2 linked regions of the Drosophila melanogaster genome follow. The protein of the gene in region 1 purifies or fractionates together with the protein of each later gene. This does not show direct contact. Each region holds a gene or a part of one and is shown on either strand. Other genes may lie near its edges.

Region 1 (3,754 bases):
AAAGCGACTAGCAAATTACCTAGCTAGTTTCAGCCACTGGAAATTCTTGTAATTAAGCAAAACTTACAAACAATATTATTTATCTTGAATTCACCGGAATGAAAATAGTGTACTGCGTAAAATATCCAATCAATCTTGCTGAATGAAACTAAAACCAATATCTAAAAATATTTTTTAATTTTTATATTTATTTTAATATTGGGTACGAAATCCAACTTTTAGAGTAAACAAACGACACAACTCCATTCAAAATTCGAATAAAGAGTACATTATTAAAATACCTTTCCAAATCTAAAGACATTTTAAAAAAATTATAGTTTTTATTATATGTATGTGGAAAAATCGCTCTCACAGGTAGTTTGTTTTCAATTTTTTTTTGGTTGAATGCACTTTTGTTTTAAGCGAGAAGTATCTTCACTCGTATTCGCTCGTATCTCATCCTTGGGTTTGCCTTATCTTTTTTGGCGCGGCATTTTTCTTCTGTTATTTTTGTCACTGCGGATGTTCTACCTAATGCACTTTTGCTTTTATTATTTTTATTTTTTTCCTCCACTTTTGCTTTGCACACTTCACAATTTTGCCGCAGCTGATTTGTAATTTAATCTTTTGAATCTGGCGCAAAACTTTGGTAATTAGCAGGTAAAGTAGTTAATTTACTTCGAAATTGAATCTTAGCTACATTAGTTTGGATGCACTTGTTCAATTAAATAAAACTTTACTACTTTAGTATTTAACTAAGATCAATTTTTAACTTGTGAAAACTTGTATTTGTGTTTTATTGCAACATCACTGACATATAACTACACTTTTTTATTTGGCTTTTTAAAAACGCCCATTATTATTTAAACTATTTATTTTTATCCATATATTGCCTTTGGCGGCTTATCCACTTTTGTTTTTTCCTCTGCCTTTCACTTTGTTTCTTCAAGAATTATTCCACATTTGTTCCTGTTTTTATGGCACGAGTGTTTTAAAAGTTACATAATAACTTTTCCCGTTCTGCTTTGCGCGTTTTTTTTTTTATACTTCTGCACTTGGTGACATATATACGCCAATATATAGAAAACGATATCCAATAACAAAAACACTTTAATTTCTTTTATGGTAAAAGGTAAAACAAAAAACTTTTTTGGCAATATCAGCAGAAACAAGGAAGAAAGCTGCAATTTAATTAAGCGCAAAGACGGAGACAAACAAAAATATTATTCCCCTTCAAATCCGAAACAGAACCGAAAAGGCGAAAAGTGTGTAATATGCGATCGAGTTACAGGCAGAGACAATATCAACGGCAGACGGCTTGACTTTGCTTCAGATCGGCCAAGTACTTGCGATATAAAACAATAACTGCGCGCTCAAAAAAAAAACCCGGAGAAAATGCGAATAAATCGAAAACCCGAATCGGAAAATTAAAGAGAGAGATCCGCTCGTTGACGCTGCGCTTGCTGGACTCAAACTGAATAAATGCACGAGAATTGCAAGTTCTAAGCTGGCGAAAATAAAAACTACAAACGCAAAAAGCCCGTGGATAAACGAAAAACCGCGAAATGCATCGAAATGTGAGCAGCGAGTCCCCAGAAGCGTTCTCACCGATACAAAGATACGAAACCGAATCGGTCGGGAGAGTCAGTCGGTCTACAAGTCTGTTGTAATGCCTTTTGCCGGCCGGGGCGTATACGCGATATGTGCAAGCATTCCCAGCTCTACCTGACTGACTGACTGATTGAGCACCGCCACTCGGCTATTATTTAATATGCTCTCCACACTCAGAATCCGCCATATCACTCAATTGCACCGATCGTGAACCTGAGTTGAGTCTTTATCTATCGCTCTATCAAACTATCAGCACGCTCAGAGCCACTCTGCTCAGAGGGTCTCTCTCGGATCGGATAGTATAGCTTTTCTATATAGTTTTCTTTCAACCTTTCTGTTTGTTGTCCAATATTCCGCGTGTTTCTGGCATTCCGTCTGGAGATTACAGATATAAGGGTCTCTCGGGGGTCTCGCAGGGGTGATTCAACGGGTTTTGTTTGTCCGCGACTTAAGTTCAAGGTCTGTGGCAGGGGTGAGTTTTTGACTATAGGTCGGCATAGACTGAAACTAGGTAGGTGGTGCAACATACCCTAACTATCTTTTGATCTATCTATACTGCTTCATGTCTATAAACTTACATTAACAGATCATATGTGCATTTCATGCAACGTGAGGCGAACTGAAATATAATTTGAAATAATAAGAGAAGTTAAACATAATTTAAAGTTAAAACTAAACAAACTGTTTTAATATTTAATCATTTAATTTAATGTAAACTTTTACTAATTAAATTGTCTTATAGTATGGAAAGTGATAAAAGAACTTCCAAACTGTCATTTCAGCTTTTGTTAATCCACACAAATAATTTCCAAAGCACTACGGCATTAGCTTTTTAATGCAAACTCATATTTCAATAAATATTTCATATATAAAGTAGTTTTAGTATGAATTCAATAGTGAACCACGACCCTTACCTTTGATTCCTTTGTCGTATTTTATCTTCAAAATCAATTCAATTGGAATTCAGCTCCGAATCTAGCACTACGACCTCACTTTCTGCAAAGGTAGCACAGAAAACTAATAATTCTGATTCTTATTCCATGATTGCCTAATCGCGAACCGCTTGCACCAGAAATTCGATATTTATTAGATGCTTACGTAACATTTCAGCACTCGATTTGCAATTTACAAGATTTTCTCGATTTGATTTGAAAGTTTTATAGGTTTATGCAACGCACAGGATGTATATATGTAGCTATTCAGCAATGCAGAGGTGTAGTCAGAACTACTTTGTTGTCAAACTGAAACTCAATAGTTTTTTTTATCAACCACTTTTATAAGTTAAAAGAAAAACCATAGTTATGTTCCACATTTATTTTATATTTTAATTGTTTTCCTCTTTATTTTACATCATTATTAAATTAAGAAGTACCAGTAAAAAAAATTTAGCACAAAAAACACAGAGAAAATATGTTGTTGATTTGATCTTAAGAATTTTAGAAATATTATAAATTTTTTTTTGTTTCATATAGAATTATGTAATAATTTCTTCATATAAAGTAGACACAAAAATAATGTCAAATTTTGGGATTGTATTGTATTTAGTGTCTAAACGTAAATACACGATGATTTAATTTAGACGTTCGTGTATATTTTGTATAAAATTACATAAATATTTTGTTGACAAAAAATGTTGATTTATTTATTTATTTTGTGTTGAGCTGAAAATTAAATTCGTGTTCTATAACTAGCGTAGAAAATGTACATATAATTTATGGATTATCCGTAAAAAGATATTTACAAAGACAAAGATGTGCCGACTGATAAAGCAAATTTTTGTTTTTAAAATTGATTTGCTTTATAGGGAGAGTTTGAACGATTAAAAAGAATAAACAAAATGAGTATGCGGCTTAGAAGTAGAAGAAATCAAAGACAAAGATGTTTTAGCTAATGTTACAAAGATATATCAAAGCTATCTCTTCAATAGGAATGCGGGCTGAAGATACAGATACGAATACAGAAATAAGCATTTAGCGTATAGCACTTTATATATAGGTTCATATAGGTGAGCATATCATTTAGTTAGCCTAAGCATAATCAAGAGAGAGTAGGGGTGTTATAGAGAGGGACATAGTTCAGAGGGTATACATAGTGAAAGGGTATTAGTCAACAGAAAGGTAATTTCAAATTCTTAACACATTAGTCCACCCATTAACTTTCTTCA
Region 2 (3,754 bases), on another chromosome or scaffold:
CATCAAAACGCGACGGGGAGTGGCGAAGTGCGGCAAGTCAACAGTCGCAGCATCAAAATCAAATTAGCAGCAGTTTGGTGGCTAATTCGAACGCACTTTATCATTTTCGGGCAGGCGTCTGTGACTTTGTGGCACGTGTGTGGCCGCGATAGATAAGAGCGAGCCCCAGCAAATGCCAGCAAACTCCGGCTAGCTTGGGCAAACACCACACACGTGGCCACAAAGGAGCTGCGTGTGGAGTGGGTGCCGGGTCAAATGGATTTTCACACCCACTCGACGTCGGCAAAGCCGCCAATTAATAGAATTCAATTATTCAAAGCCACCGCAGGCCGATGGGACGGCTGATAAGGCATAAAGACATCCTTGGGCACTTCGATCGGATTAGGATAATAAAAAATGCTCCGAAAAAAAAAGAAGTTGTGGGGTCCATAAAAATATGCTTTTATGAGGGGGTAGCTAAAATCATTTCCTATTTATCAGATGCCTCAACTTTTAACCCTTCAATTGCGAAGACTAAAAGCCAAATTCAATGCACAGAAATTGCAAGTAATAATCATTTGTAACTGCATAGCAGTAGTATCAGCATCGAACCGAACCACTCGACCGCTCGGAGTTCATCAACCCCTCGTGGAAAGACGGGGAATCCCCTGCTGGCAGGTATGTGTAACGCCACCTGTGGGCCACAGCGCGCAACAGCCAGCTGGGCGGAGGCGGAAAAGCCAGGGAAAATCAGCTGTCGCTATCATCCCACTCCGTACGTGTTTCAGCGCACGCCGCGCACACCTGCCCAGGTAGAGCTTCCACGGGACAAACGGGAAACAGAAGCCCCCAAAAGCTTGGCGCCACTTTCAACTTTTCATCCGTGCTAGAGAGCCGAGCTGCTAGACCGATGCACTGCGTTGACTGCGGACTGGCGCTCTGGTGCACTGCTGGCCGCACTTGGACGATGACCAGGTGGGTGGGTGAGTAATGCCGTTGCGAAATGCCAGTGCCAGTGCGAGTTCGCACAATTCATGGTGGGGCAGGGACGGGTCCGAGTGCAAAAAGCGTCCGAGAAAGCCGTAGGCAGTGAAAAGCCGCCGCTCACGTGGCGAACTGCGTGACTTGGCCAGCAAATCCGCCGCCCAGCCGGCTCCCCGGAAAACACCCCTCGGAAAACGTGCTGCCAGCCGCCCACCAGGCAGCCCCAAAAAGGCAGGGGATTCCATAGCTTTCCTTAACCTGCAGTTGGTGCGTGGGGCTTGGATTGACACTTGGCATCGGCAGTGCCATGTAACGTATCCCACAGCATAGATAAAAACCAAAAGAAACTAGTATTCAATAGAAGCTATGAAAAAGAAAGATATCCAACATTATAGCAATCTATAAATGGGGTTTCTTGCTATGGAAAAGGGAGTCTTTGGCATTCCAATTACTTGCTTTTGTTGTTCGCGCAAAAGCTTCGCCCAAGGGTTAATGTTTGGGTCCGAGTATCTCAGCCGACCAGCGATTTCCCGAGCGACTGCGATTCCCAGCGATTCTCAGCGACGGCGGAGAGCAGCGAGTGAGTGTGAGAAAATTCTGGGAATGCGAGTGCACGGGGGCTTATACACCGGAGCTTGCGATGCGAGCACTAGTGTTCGTGCGAATTTAGAGCCAGAAGGTCGACAACGCGTTCGTCGCACAGTAGAAAGTATTGCCATATACCAAATAAATCGCAACAACGACCTGTCGAATCACGCAAACAAACAGCTTCGTTTTTTTTTTTTTAATTTCGACCAGAAACAAACCGTTATTCTTTGGTGCCAGTGTTAGTGTCAAGTGTATCGAGCTGAGTGACATATAGCCACAGCCAAAAAGTGAGACCATAAGTGAGATTCCAAACAGAAGGCAGCAGCAGCCTAATCGCAGCCTAATCGCAAAAAAGTGCAGCTGGGTGAGAGCGAGAGCGAGTGTGTAAGTGCAATTGTCACGTTGTTGCAATAAAGCTGCAAAGAAAAATCTCAGCAAGAGGCGCTAGATAGACCATTATCATATTGCCAATACAAAACAACGCATTGGGCAGGCAGCTTACATAAATAACTCGGTTCATAACGTCCAATGGCGCACTTACACATATGTACATATAGTGTTTATTAATAAGTGCACGTTGCACACCGAGCAAAGCGTAAACAAAAGCCCACATCAAAATACCTGACCCTACCGAACAATGCTCCGGGAATGCCCCACCACTTCCTTCCTTGCAGTGCCAAACAAACATACTCTGGCCGCAGAATACGCATACGCAACGTGGTGCACCACTGCAGCCGCTTGCCTTCCGGTCACCTGGAGTGCAGTACTGCAGCACACTGCGCCTACGTGAAGTGAACTCATTCATATATGTAGCTACATAGCTCTAATCGATGCCCGGCATCCAATCTGGGTCAGAGCATATTGCGCATACGCAGCGTGTTCCCTTTTGGGCATTGCACCTTGGTATTTTCAGCTTATTTGCTGCACACACGCCACGTGGGCGCAGTAATTTCTGGCAAATTTGGAATGTCTATTAAAACCCCTACGATTTGGATAGCCGCAGTCGCAGTCGCGTTACACAAGCTAAACAGAGTACCACCATTAATAGCTCAACGTTCCCATTCGTGCCCCGAATTTTCCCACAGTCTTTCCCAGTATGTCTTGCCCCCGGGTTATGCGACTGTTATCCATGTCTGTCGCGCTTCCTGTGCTGCATTATCTAACATCCTCGGAATGACGCACGACCAATGTAATCCAGCAATCCAGAGGCATCGCGGCGGATTCGATTCGACCAGTTGGCCTTCTTGCTTTGCTGCGTCAAAGTTCACCCACATATGGGATGCGAACTGGGTTAACCAGCGAGTTACACAATCCTTGGTGGGTATAAACTGAAGGATTTGGGCAGATTGAGCAGTCGGTTGGAAGCCAGTTTGTTGGGCAAAAAAATGGTATTATCCAATGGAATTTTTCACCTTCTTTGGAATTCTTTCTTCTTGAATTCTGGGCCGTCGAAACAACTATCAGCTTGTTTACTTGGCCCATTTGGTTATCTTTGCTTTTAATGGAAACTCTGAAGAGCCTGGAATGGGGTCCACCCTAATGCCTGTGTGTCTGTGTAGTATTTTTGGGTTTAGTTGATTCAGCCAAATCGGAGAGAATGAACCTGGGTCTTATGCAATCGCTGAAACCGAACTCCTTGCCGAATTGAATGCTTGCTATATGCACCGATTACGACATAGTGGTGCATTGTGAGAAATATGAGTTCTTCGCTGCGTTCTTTTTTTGTAATTGCAAAATTGCTGAAAAGAATGTGTCTTCTACTGAGGTACAGGGTACATGGTTCTGAACTACACACTACACGTATCTAAGTATCTAAGTACGTATCTGCGAATCTGGAGCCGGGATGCATTGCGACTGCATAACGACATCCGTTGGCGGAGCGGCAGAGGCAACGCGAGAGCAAAAGCACATCGCACTGCACGTGAATGCAGCGTCGCGCCGTCTCGCTCTCGCTCCCGCTGCGCTGTTAATTAGCACAGTGAAGCCTCGTTGCAGGCAACCACCGTGTGGGCGACATTGTTCTCTATCTATCGTTCTGAGTCTGGGCCGGGCAGAGAGTATACGATTCAATCAATGGCCACCATGCAGGTGCAAGTCAAGGTGACAATTTCACAACAATGCTCCAGCCAATTAGGACTAGAAGTTATCCAAGCCATGATTCATGAACATGAATGGCAGGCAGTCGGAACACGTGCAACGCCTG

Evidence for each region. Proteins that work in one complex are often made in the same cells at the same time.
Region 2: the proteins of Clk (region 1) and per purify together in Drosophila melanogaster (affinity purification with western blotting; 10 studies listed by BioGRID). This does not show direct contact.

Annotation. Positions count from the first base shown.
Region 1 is NT_037436.4:7,773,909-7,777,662, forward strand, and holds the start of Clk (clock), read right to left. Parts: upstream 1,696-3,754; 5' UTR 1,588-1,695; intron 1-1,587. UniProt on the Drosophila melanogaster protein: Circadian regulator that acts as a transcription factor and generates a rhythmic output with a period of about 24 hours. Oscillates in antiphase to the cycling observed for period (PER) and timeless (TIM).
Region 2 is NC_004354.4:2,683,966-2,687,719, forward strand, and holds the start of per (period), read left to right. Parts: upstream 1-1,614; 5' UTR 1,615-1,935; intron 1,936-3,754. UniProt on the Drosophila melanogaster protein: Essential for biological clock functions. Determines the period length of circadian and ultradian rhythms; an increase in PER dosage leads to shortened circadian rhythms and a decrease leads to lengthened circadian rhythms.